3 linked regions of the Bombyx mori genome follow. Each later gene encodes a partner of the first gene's protein in a complex. Links are inferred from orthologs where the notes say so. Each region holds a gene or a part of one and is shown in the gene's direction. Other genes may lie near its edges.

Evidence for each region.
Region 2: WD40 repeat-containing protein SMU1 (region 1) and protein Red share a complex: the UniProt entries of both Homo sapiens proteins name them as parts of the spliceosome B complex. The link is inferred for Bombyx mori from reciprocal best matches to the Homo sapiens genes SMU1 and IK.
Region 3: WD40 repeat-containing protein SMU1 (region 1) and zinc finger matrin-type protein 2 share a complex: the UniProt entries of both Homo sapiens proteins name them as parts of the spliceosome B complex. The link is inferred for Bombyx mori from reciprocal best matches to the Homo sapiens genes SMU1 and ZMAT2.

The regions. Positions count from the first base shown.
Region 1 is NC_085112.1:942,750-947,128, forward strand, and holds the start of WD40 repeat-containing protein SMU1, read left to right. Parts: upstream 1-1,446; 5' UTR 1,447-1,647; coding exon 1,648-1,673; exon of another isoform or gene 1,674-1,690; intron 1,691-1,767; coding exon 1,768-1,834; intron 1,835-2,535; coding exon 2,536-2,794; intron 2,795-3,165; coding exon 3,166-3,680; intron 3,681-4,118; coding exon 4,119-4,246; intron 4,247-4,379. UniProt on the Homo sapiens protein: Involved in pre-mRNA splicing as a component of the spliceosome. Regulates alternative splicing of the HSPG2 pre-mRNA. Required for normal accumulation of IK.
Region 2 is NC_085122.1:6,718,448-6,722,104, forward strand, and holds part of protein Red, read left to right. Parts: intron 1-341; coding exon 342-539; intron 540-1,107; coding exon 1,108-1,171; intron 1,172-1,279; coding exon 1,280-1,354; intron 1,355-1,804; coding exon 1,805-1,915; intron 1,916-2,848; coding exon 2,849-2,913; intron 2,914-3,450; coding exon 3,451-3,657. UniProt on the Homo sapiens protein: Involved in pre-mRNA splicing as a component of the spliceosome. Auxiliary spliceosomal protein that regulates selection of alternative splice sites in a small set of target pre-mRNA species. Required for normal mitotic cell cycle progression.
Region 3 is NC_085128.1:9,737,889-9,741,315, reverse strand, and holds zinc finger matrin-type protein 2, read left to right. Parts: upstream 1-1,393; 5' UTR 1,394-1,596; coding exon 1,597-1,711; intron 1,712-1,798; coding exon 1,799-2,040; intron 2,041-2,491; coding exon 2,492-2,731; 3' UTR 2,732-2,782; downstream 2,783-3,427. UniProt on the Homo sapiens protein: Involved in pre-mRNA splicing as a component of the spliceosome.

The DNA.
Region 1 (4,379 bases):
TTGTTTTTTTACAAGTACCTCAAAAAACACCTTAAATAAGTTCATGCCTCACTTGCCGCGAGATGGCTCACTGGCGTTACTTGCATCTGTTATCAATATACTCATCTCTTTTGTCGTGAAAGGGCAGTCTAGCTCACGACCTTAGGGTCCTTGGTTACCTGGTGTTGAGGAACTTCATGGAAACCCAAATCTATCGTGCTCGTAAACGGCATCAAACTCGAGTCGTGAGATTCAAGTCTTAATTGCTTTGAAATATTCGTAGATAAAACGCTGGCACCTTTTCGTCATAACATTTAATATGCGGACGGCTAGTTTTATGGATACCAGAAGATGAAAGATGATAGAAGGCAGATGGATAAATGGGAATTAGTCATATACCTATCTATAAATTGTGATTGTCCTATAGGCAGACGAGCTTACGGCCCACCTGATGGTGAGTGGCTACCATCGCCCATGGACTTCAGCAATGCTAGGGGCTGAGTCAAGCTGCTGCCTACCGTTATATTTGACAGTAATTTGCCCGGCAGAGAAGTTCGCACCTGCTCCGTAAACCCTTCTGGGACTTTGTCACCGCGAAAAGCATTCTCGTCAACGAGCGCGAAGCTCCATTCTTTCCCCGTTACTCAGTTCAGTATATATTTTAATAATACACGCCAGTCGTCAGAGACCCTTCTAGCTCTCTTCGGCGATGATACTAGTTATTACTGGAGTGAGCTGGGAAGATGTCGCTAATTCATCGGCGACTCTAGACCGCAGGATCAGGAGCTTCGGAAGTGGCGTAATTAGTGGTGGTAGAAAGTCTTGTGAGTATCCTTGTGAGTAGTGAGTAGACTTGTGAGTACCTACCGCACGGGTAGGTACCACTACCCTACCTATTTCTGCCGTGAAGTAGTAATGCGGTTCGGTTTGAAGGGTCGGGCAGCCGTTGTAATACTGAGACTGTTAAGTATGTGTGCGTGTGCCTACGCATACGGGGTATTTCAACAAATATAGGGCAGTGTGTTAACAGCAGGCAAGTGTTTCACTCGTGTATCCCTCGTATCTAACAGAGACCTTATAACTTACATCTCAAGGTGGGTGGCGGAATTAACGTTGTAGATGTGTATGTGCTCCAGTAACCACATAACACCAGCTGTAAGCTCGTCCACTCATCTAAGCATTAAAAAAAGAACGATCCTGATGACCGGACAATATACAGTCGCCCTCAGTCTTAACCCGTTATTTCGGGTCAAAGAGTCGTGGGTCCAATTTCCAGGATAAAATGTACTATGCGTACATCGCAAGCTACTAGGCAGGATAAAATGCGTAATGCATATTAAACATAATAATTAAGGCCTATTGGTAGCATAGGAGGCATTGACCATACACTTCACGTTTAGTTTGTAGTCATAAAATTAAATGTTATGTGGGCAACATGGAGTAAGGTTGTAATAGTAACTCTATGGTGGGCAATCTATGTATGGCTTGTAGCTAATCTATGGCGCTGAACTTGAATTGTGTTTATTTCCTTCTGTGTGATTTTATTTTCAATAAAATTTTAGACATTAATTTTGTGACATTGTTTATTATATATGTAAAAATATAAACCTTCAAATTCGCGTAGCAAGTTTTCTGTGGTAACTTCGTATAAAAGACGTTTTATACACAATGTCCATTGAGATAGAATCAGCCGAGTGAGTTTACTATCAATGTAAACACGAAATTACTTGAAATTATTCATCAAATATTTAATTTAGTGCCTAAAATATATTTTTATTTCAATTGCAGTGTTATCAGACTGATACAACAATACTTGAAGGAGTCAAATTTAACCAAAACATTGCAGACTTTGCAGGTTAATTCTGTTGATATTTAATTAAACATATTTTTTAATGAATAGAATTAGTGTAAATTTTTTAAACTTTACAGATTGCACTTATTTTACTTAATTATTCACTTATATTAATGAATTTTGTGTACATTTATGAGAACTTCAATTGTATCAAGTCAGAAAAGAATACCAACTTATTATTGATAAACTCTTAAGCTTTGACACTGGCTAGGATTAATGTTACATACGGCTTTTTTAACTTCAGACAGCATGCAACTTTTAGTAAGATCCACCCATATTGAACAATTTGGGGTTGTGAATTTTTTTTAAATATTGATACCATTCCTGTGCCACTGAAGCTTTAACTTCCAAGATTAGTAGTTGTAATGACCAAATTATATGAGATGTATGCATGTTGTTCACTACTGTTAGGGTGTCTTGTGACCCCCCAATGGTACCTATAAGTTCCTGCCTATTTTTCAATAGAGCAGCCATGTGTACAGGTTTGATAGATGTGACAGCTGTAATACTATGTATAACACTGAAATTTATACCTGAAGTTTCAAGTTAGAAGGATGGCAGTGTTGATATGTCTCAACTAAAGACTCAACACTTAGTTGGCAATGAGCTTGTTCACCATTTTATGCAATAAAAAGCCGTAACTGTACATCTGATTCAGATGTCATCTCTCTGAATTTTGAAAGTAAATGATTTTTAATATATAGGAGGAAACTGGAGTGACTCTAAATACAGTAGACAGCGTGGACGGTTTCTGCGCAGATATTAACAATGGCCACTGGGACACAGTACTTAAAGCTACTGCTTCACTCAAGCTTCCTGACAAAAAGTTGATGGAGTTATATGAGCAGGTTGTATTGGAGTTGATAGAACTGCGAGAATTGGGTGCTGCGAGATCCTTGCTACGTCAGACACATCCTTGTCTGTTGATGAAGCAGCATGAAACAGATCGGTATATGCATCTTGGTGAGTCAAAATTTTAGTATATGTATTTGGCTAAAAATACATCCAGTCTTTAAATCAGATTTGTATCTTAGAATGCTAATGAATATGAATAATATAATATAAAAAGATATAATATTTAAAATAAAACTTATTGCAATACAATAGTAAATAAATGCAATACAATTAAAGTAAATAATACTACTGCTGTAGCAACTTGGCTATGCCTTTGGCATTGTTGATGTCCATTAATGTGACCAGATGGGTGGTCCTAAGCTGATCTAAATAGAGGCAATAAAAACATGTTTAGTTTAAGCAATTTTTATACACATTTCCAATTGTTTTAATCCATAGTTAAATCTGTATGTGTCTGAATGTTTATCTTCATATGACAGAAAACCTGTTAGCACGTTCATATTTCGATCCTCGTGAGGCATACGGCAGTGGAGGAGGCAAGGAGCGGCGCCGCGCTGCCATCGCAGCGTCCCTCGCCGGGGAGGTGTCCGTCGTACCGTCGTCCCGTCTGCTGGCACTACTGGGCCAGGCCCTCAAATGGCAACAGCACCAGGGTCTGCTCCCTCCCGGCACCACTATAGATTTGTTCCGTGGTAAAGCCGCAATAAGAGACCAAGAAGACGATCTCTGCCCCACCCAACTGTCCAAGATCATCAAATTCGGTCAGAAGTCCCACGTGGAGTGCGCGCGATTTTCTCCTGATGGACAATATTTAGTGACGGGCTCCGTAGATGGCGTCGTTGAAGTTTGGAACTTTACAACAGGAAAAATCCGTAAGGATTTGCGTTATCAGGCTCATGATGAGTACATGTGCATGGAAGAGGCGGTGCTGAGCCTGGCTTTTGCGAGGGATAGCGACACATTGGCTGCTGGGTCTAATGATGGAAAAATTAAGGTAATAAATGTTTTAAAACCTCATGCTAGTTAACCTTTTCATTACTGCTTCCGTGTAAAAAGTGAGTTATTATTGCTCCCTAATATATAATTATATAATGCTATGTATATGACCTAATGAGCTCAGAATTCACCTGGGCATCATTAGGTGGTAACAGACAAAACGGAAAGCAATATATATTTCCTAAGATGATTATATACTTTTTGTTGAACATATCGTGCAACCGCAATGTAATGTGAAGTTAAGAGACCTTCTCCTCCCCTTCCCTCCTCTTCTCCACCCCTTCTCCACCCCTTCGCCACCCCTTCCCCGGGCTGCATTGAACTTTGAACATGAAATTTTTTGGTCGTTCAAGATAGTTTCATTGTATCCTTTGTTCAACACATGGGTCATTAAGTAAATTCAACATAATTACTCAATAAAATTCTCTGTGAACAGGTCTGGAAAGTGTCAACGGGTAAAGTGCAACGCAAACTGGACCGAGCTCACTCTAAGGGCGTGACCTGCCTGCAGTTCACCCGAGACAACACTCAGATCCTCTCGGCCTCCTTTGATCGGACCATAAGGTATTTATTTATAAAGTTAAACCTTAAAGTGTACGGGAGGCGTCGATGATCTACCACTGCACTCAGCTGCTAAACGTCTTACTGATACAGATACTGACATCTCAATTTTCATATAGGGCAGGATTTGGTTGGA
Region 2 (3,657 bases), on another chromosome or scaffold:
CTTTATTAATATATATCAAAGAGTATCTGTGGCAGATCTATTCCACCAAGGAAATACACAAAATGGTTTGTACTTGTCTCGGATAAGAAGTGTCTAAAGGCCTTCAGTTAGGAAGATTAGGCAGACAGGAATTAGTGACACAGCCTTGACGTGTCCCTGACATTCCTCATGTCCATGTTACACCATGACCATGTAGAGGATACTAATGTACAGCTTACCTCAGGGTACTACTATTAATGGCCATGTTTTTATATGTGAACAATGGCAATAAAAATTTTGTTTCTTAAAATGTATCAAAAGTTTATTATATCTTCTTACCAATAATTTTCACAACATAACAGATCCATGCCACCACCATCAGAGAATAAAGGAGAGTTACGTCGTAAGAAAAAGTCATACTATGCTGCTCTTAAGAAACAAGAAGACAACAAGCTAGCAGAGCTTGCGGAGAAATACAGAGACAGAGCTAGAGAGAGGAGAGATGGTGTGAATGATTTAAGTGTTATTGATCCAACAAGCAACACAAGTAGTGCCTATAGGTAAACTTAATACTCTCTTTTTTATATATATAGCTAAGAAACTATTTGGGAAAATTCTATTGTTTCTTTTTTGTCACCATTTGCCATCAGAACCAAATTAATTCTTATTAGCTTGGACCTCTGTGCTTGTCTTGAAGTGAGTTCCTGAGATCACCTTTGCCACATTATATGATTGGAATGATTTCTTAATGCCTTTTCTGAATGCTATGACATACTTTTCAACCATCTCTGATCCTCTGCCATTCAAAACAAAGTATAAAATTGAGTGAAGTCCTATGTAGTTTTTTTTAAAGTTTTGAATCATTCATACTCTAAATGAATCGGTAGTGTCCTTCTAACTATTATGCTGAGGGCACTGGGTTCGATTCCCACATCGAGCAAACATTCATGTGATGAACAGGCTTTTCTAGGTGTTTATTACCTACTATATGTATATATTTAAACTTATATAAGGATGTTTGTCAGTATCTGGTATCCATAACATATAGACACCTAATTTGGGGCCTGAGGTCCATGTGCGATTTGTTCACAGTTAAAAATGAAAGTAAAATCTGTAATTTTTTTACAGAGCTGTTGCTCCAGATTTGAAATCAGGTCTAGATGCCAAAGAAAGGAGGAGACAACTTATCCAGGTATTTACCTATAGTTAACTTTTTTATCTTAAATATTATAACAACATAGAATATTACTGTTCAATATTTTTAATAAACAATTATTTTACAATTTACTTCATTTTACAGGAATCCAAATATCTTGGTGGTGACATGGAGCACACTCACTTGGTAAAAGGTCTCGATTATGCTTTGTTGCAGAAGGTAAGATATTTATTCAATTTCTATTGATCAATCAATATTATAAATAATGGTTTTATTTAATGCTAATTATTTAATGCTATTATGTTTCTTCGGTGTTAAGTTGTTAACAGAGCATACATATTGCAAAATGAAGACCCATCTTCAGATATTAGACCAAAATCTTATAATATGTCAGTATAATCTGCAATATGTTCTAAAGGATAATATTTTTTATTTACTATGTATATACATATATATTTATATTTGTACACACAAATGTATGTATAGTTCTATAGTTTCTAACAAGATAAGTCTCATAATTGATATTATAATTTTGACTTTGTTCCATAGATCCATATTACAAGAATATAATATAGGATCATAGGATATATTAAAAATCATGTATATTTATGTATTTTTTTCACGAATCATAAATTTGTTATAATATTATATTTTTACTCTGTGTTAAAGGTTCGTTCAGAAATACAAACTCGGGAGCAAGAAGAAGAAGCCGAAATGGAGAGACTGGTCACTATTCCCGTGGAACCTGTAAAAGAAAAGAAAGAAGAAAAGAAGGAAGTTGTAAGTCAATACATGTTGTTTTTTACTCGTAAGTTTGCAAATGAGTTCATGTCTTAATTTTTTTATTTGCCTAGTCATATGAAGTGGGAGGAGCTAGAACAAACTGCCCAAGACCGATGTAAATGGAAAAAATTGATTCGAGCCCTACACCCCAGCAGAGGGTAATAGGAAAGAATGATGATGATGCCTAGTCATACGAATGAAGTTATGGCTCATTTGGTTTTAAGTGGTTACTAAAACTCAACCCATCCAGCACCTCACAATGTGAATGTTGCCACTTATTTGGAGATGTAACTCCGTATTGTATATGTTGAAGATTGCAAGTGTATTTACTAACTAGCAGCGTTTACTACAATACACAACAAAATCTGTGTTACAGAACTTGCAATAATTGCCTTGTTTGTTTTTTTTTGTAGTTGTACTTTAGTGGAACATTTATTTATCCCGAGTCTAAGCGTGTCACAATATGTTCTACAATAGATAAAAAAGCCACCTCTAATGTTGACATTATAAAATAAAATCAATCACCATTTAGAAAATATTCCAAGTCTAAACTTTAGAGAATGGCATCATTCTACAATGATAATAGGCAGTAGCACCAGTATAGGTATTAAATGTACTAAGCCAGAGTCAGAGTACTGGCTCATTCATTAGTGAGAATACTCGATTCAAAGCAAATGTTTATCATGATGATAGTCTAGTCATAGTTCTATCAATAACATTGAAGTTTAAGAATATAATATTTTTTACTTAACACCATAACCATCTTCTGTCTATCGTTAGAGGTCAAATTTGTCAAAATGAACTATTCTTCACTGATGATGTAATGAAATTATCTCGAACAGTTTGATTCTCTTTTCAAATTAAAATACTTACAGCTTCAAAAAAACAATATAATTTTTATTTTATTTACTGTTAGTTTTATTATTACAGGAAGAAGAGATGCAGTTCAAGACTCAAATGGGAAAAAATATTTTTGACATGATTCTAGAACAAAAGTAAGTTAATTTTTTTCGTAACATTATAAACTCTATTGTGACGATAATTAGAGCAACTACTTAAAATGCAACACCGTTATAAAAGAAAGATTTAGAATTCATGTCTCAAGATGGGTGGCATTTACTTGACCACTTAACCAATGACCATTTAACTCCAAGGAGATTGTCAACCCATTGAAGCAATAATTTTTTGTTTAGATAAAGAACAGATTACTTAATTCCTTAATAACGTTAGATTCATTGAAGTTCTTATTTAGTACTAGCGGCCCGCCCTCGCTTCGCTTCGGAAGCTGTAATTCATTATTGATTTCTCCACTATTTAATGGATGTTATTACATATAAACCTTCCTCTTCAATCAATCTATCTATTTAAAAAAACCGCATCAAAATTCGTTGCGTAGTTTTAAAGATTTAAGCATACATAGGGACAGACAGATATAGGGACAGAGAAAGCGACTTTGTTTTATACTATGTAGTGATATAAACTAAAGAGTTATTGGGTTTGGTGTTATAAAAAATGATGACTGCCTTTTTCAGGAACAAGAAAGTTGTCCGCAGCGAAATGTTTGCTCCCGGTCGTATGGCGTACGTGGTCGAGCTCGACGAAGAAGGCACAATCGATTCCGATATACCCACAACGTTGACTCGGAGTAAAGCGGACGTTCCCGAAATGGACGAAAGGAGTTCGGCTTCGAGTGCAAATGATCTTGTCGTCGAGAAACTGACTCAGATCTTCTCATATTT
Region 3 (3,427 bases), on another chromosome or scaffold:
CTCATTATAGTAGGTAGGTATGTATGAACTTGTAATAAAATCTCTTTGGTTATACTATTTGTATCTGGCTGGTTTTGGAATAATTAAAGGTTTAAAATTTTAAAAAAGACAATTCCAAATTCAAATTAAGAAAATGTGTGATTTTTATTTGTTTTTCGTACTGTCAAGATTAGGGAATCTAATGAAGAAAATCGATACATTTAAAAAGTTTACTACAAAAAAGGTAAAAATGCAACGTAGGCCGCGAAAAAAAATTGCGATGTTTATGGACCTAGTGCTGTGTCTGTGAAAGTAGCACAAAATTGGTTTAAGCGTTTTCAATACGAAATTTTTATTTTAAGAATTTGTACGTCGCTCTAATCGAATCTTTTTGAAAAAGTGAAAGTGACTGATCGCATCTTTTTGAAAAAGTAAAGCAAGATCGGCATATCAGTAGTTACGACGTAGCTGAAGAACTGGGAATTGACTACAAAACAGCTTTGGCTCATTTGAAAAAAAATAGATACACAAAAAAGTTCGATATTTGGGTACCTCACGAGCTCACTGAAAGAAACCTAATGAACCGTGTACTCATTTGTGATTCTTTATTACGACGTAATGAAACCGAACCATGTTTGAAGAAGCTGATAACTGGTGATGAAAAGTGGATCACGCACGACAAGAACGTACGAAAAAAGTCGTGGTCAAAGGTCCGTCAGGCTTCACAGACTGTGGCAAAACCTGGGTTAACTTGCAACAAGGTGATGCTGTTTGTGTAGTGGAATTGGAAGGACATTATTCATTATGAGCTGTTACCACCAGGCAAGACCATTGATTCTGAACTCTACTGCGAACAACTGATGAGATTAAAGGAAGAAGTTGAGAGAAAGTGGCCAGAATTAATCAACAGAAGGAGTGTGGCTTTTCATCATGATAACAATGTGACCTTACACATCTTTAGCCATTCAGCAAAAATTAAGAGAGCTTGACTGGAAGATGTTAATGCATCCGCTGTTTATCCGTATATCCGTCCTGACCTTGCACCTTCAGGTTTCCACCTGTTTCGGTTCTTCAGAATTCTTTAGGCAGTGTCAGATTAACATCACGAGAGGACTGCCAAAACCAATTGTCTCGGTATTTTGATCAGAAGCCCCAAATTTTTTATAGCAATGGGATCATGTCCCTATTTACAAAATGGCAAAAAGCTATCGAACAAAATGATACCTACATACTTAAGTTAAATGTAAATAAACTATTAAAAAAATTTGTTAATTTTCTTAAAAAATGCGAAGAAACTTTTTCCCCAACCTATTATATTAATTTTCATGTAACTGAATATATAAAAGATTAGGCTGTATAATATATATATGCTTTCGCCTTTCTTGTTAGAAAATGGAAATACTACAACTAATCATTTGTCAGTTTTGTCACTGCTAGTTGTCAATTAGAAACATTTCGTTTGTGTTGTTAAGGATGATTTTCTCGTGTTATTTTTTTAATAGATCTAATTGATTACTCTTCCCTCTGGGTACACGTTTAATATAAAACAAACAAGTGGAGTGTGTAAGAAAATCATAACTTGTAATTGTTGTGAAATAAATACTATAAAATTTAAACATGAGTATGCGCCCCGATGACCACCGAAGAAAATGGGACAAAGAGGAATTCGAGAAAATTGCAGCCGAGCGTTTGAAAGCAGAGCTAGAAGAAGAAGAAAAATCCAAGAAGAAAGGTAAAATATTTGTGTCAACACACTTTGTTACGTTAAAATACAAATTTGACACAATATATAAATGTTTGTTTAATTTTCATTTTCCAGCCACTCCAGTCAAACGTGAACTTCTCAAACAACGTGAATATAAAGTAGATTTGGACTCGAGACTCGGGAAGAGTGTAGTAATCAATAAGAATACGCCAACGTCCCAATCTGGAGGATATTATTGTAATGTTTGTGACTGTGTTGTTAAAGATTCAATAAATTTCCTTGATCACATCAATGGTAAAAAACATCAGAGGAATCTGGGAATGTCCATGAAAATAGAAAGGAGCAGCTTAGATCAGGTGAGCTTACTTTTTCACATGTATGTATATGCATAGTACCAAGCAGGTAAATAGGATTGTTGACTTGCTACTAGATTTATGGTCTGAGATCATCAATTGGCCACTGTTGCATCAAAATAATAACAAACATCATGAACCAACGCTATTATTTTTGTGATTGCCTGAGTTGAGCAAACCTACCATCCCACTCAACTAGAGCACTCAATATTAAAATAATTCTCAACAAATTCTTTCAATCTTAATTTTATCAAGTTCTAATGCTATTGTTAAGGAATAATAAATGTAAAATGTTCAACCAAATAGATGATTTAAATTTCTAGACCACTAATTTGAAATAATCTATCTAACTCATCTAGCTGTTCTCAATTTTATAAATACCATTCAGGTTTTAATAATATTTATTCTATTCTATCATAGCTACTACTACTACATTATATTTGTTTGGTTCCAGGTAAAAGCAAGATTTGCACTCAATAAACGAAAGTTGGAAGAGAAAAAGCGTGAATATGAATTAGACACAAGATTAAAGGAAGCCGCTGAAGAAGAAGCTCGTGTGAAAGAGCTACGTAGGGAGAGACGTCGGGACAAGAAACGGAAGTTAATGGAGAATGATGAAATAGATGATACACCAGCACCTTCTGAATTAGCACAAATTATGGGGTTTTCTGGCTTTGGAGGATCTAAAAAATGATATGTTTTAAAATGTAAAGCTTATATTAATAAATACTGTGTGGTACAATAATGTTTCATTGAATGTTTTAATTATTATTTGGCTAATAATTCTATTTGCCCTGACCTTGTTTTATCAAGGTATAATTATGAACTTTGATTTAGCAGACAGGATAATATTACCATATTTATTTGGAAAAGGCTAGAAAAAACGACACCATGTAAATGTAACATGTTCCAAATGCTTTTTCCAATTAAAAAATATAAATTATAAGGCTACAATGTCCACTACCGGACTTGGTATGAGGGCATGTTTTTCATGTGCTAGATGAAAGCTTTTCACTGACTCCAGTAGTCCTGTATATGTCAAAACTCACATCAACTTTAGTTTTTGGGATTTGGGATTTTGGGATATGTAAATCGCACGTGACTACTTTGACTGACTGACTTTTCGAGGACAATAAACAATTCAACAACAAAATCAGTTGGCTGGGCGTTAAAAGAGCGCTCATCTCTCTACTCTAAGTCGTTTCTGTTGAGTCTGGGCTAAGATAACGATCTCGCCCAAATCTATAAATTAAAATAAGACATGACTTAAAGGTCTTAGTCACCAGGTCATAAAATACCTTAAAAAAAGAATTTTATATAATACTTTTTGGCGGGAACGCGAGGCGTGAAGTTGTGTGATTTGTTTTATTTTGTGTTTCTTCGGGTTTAA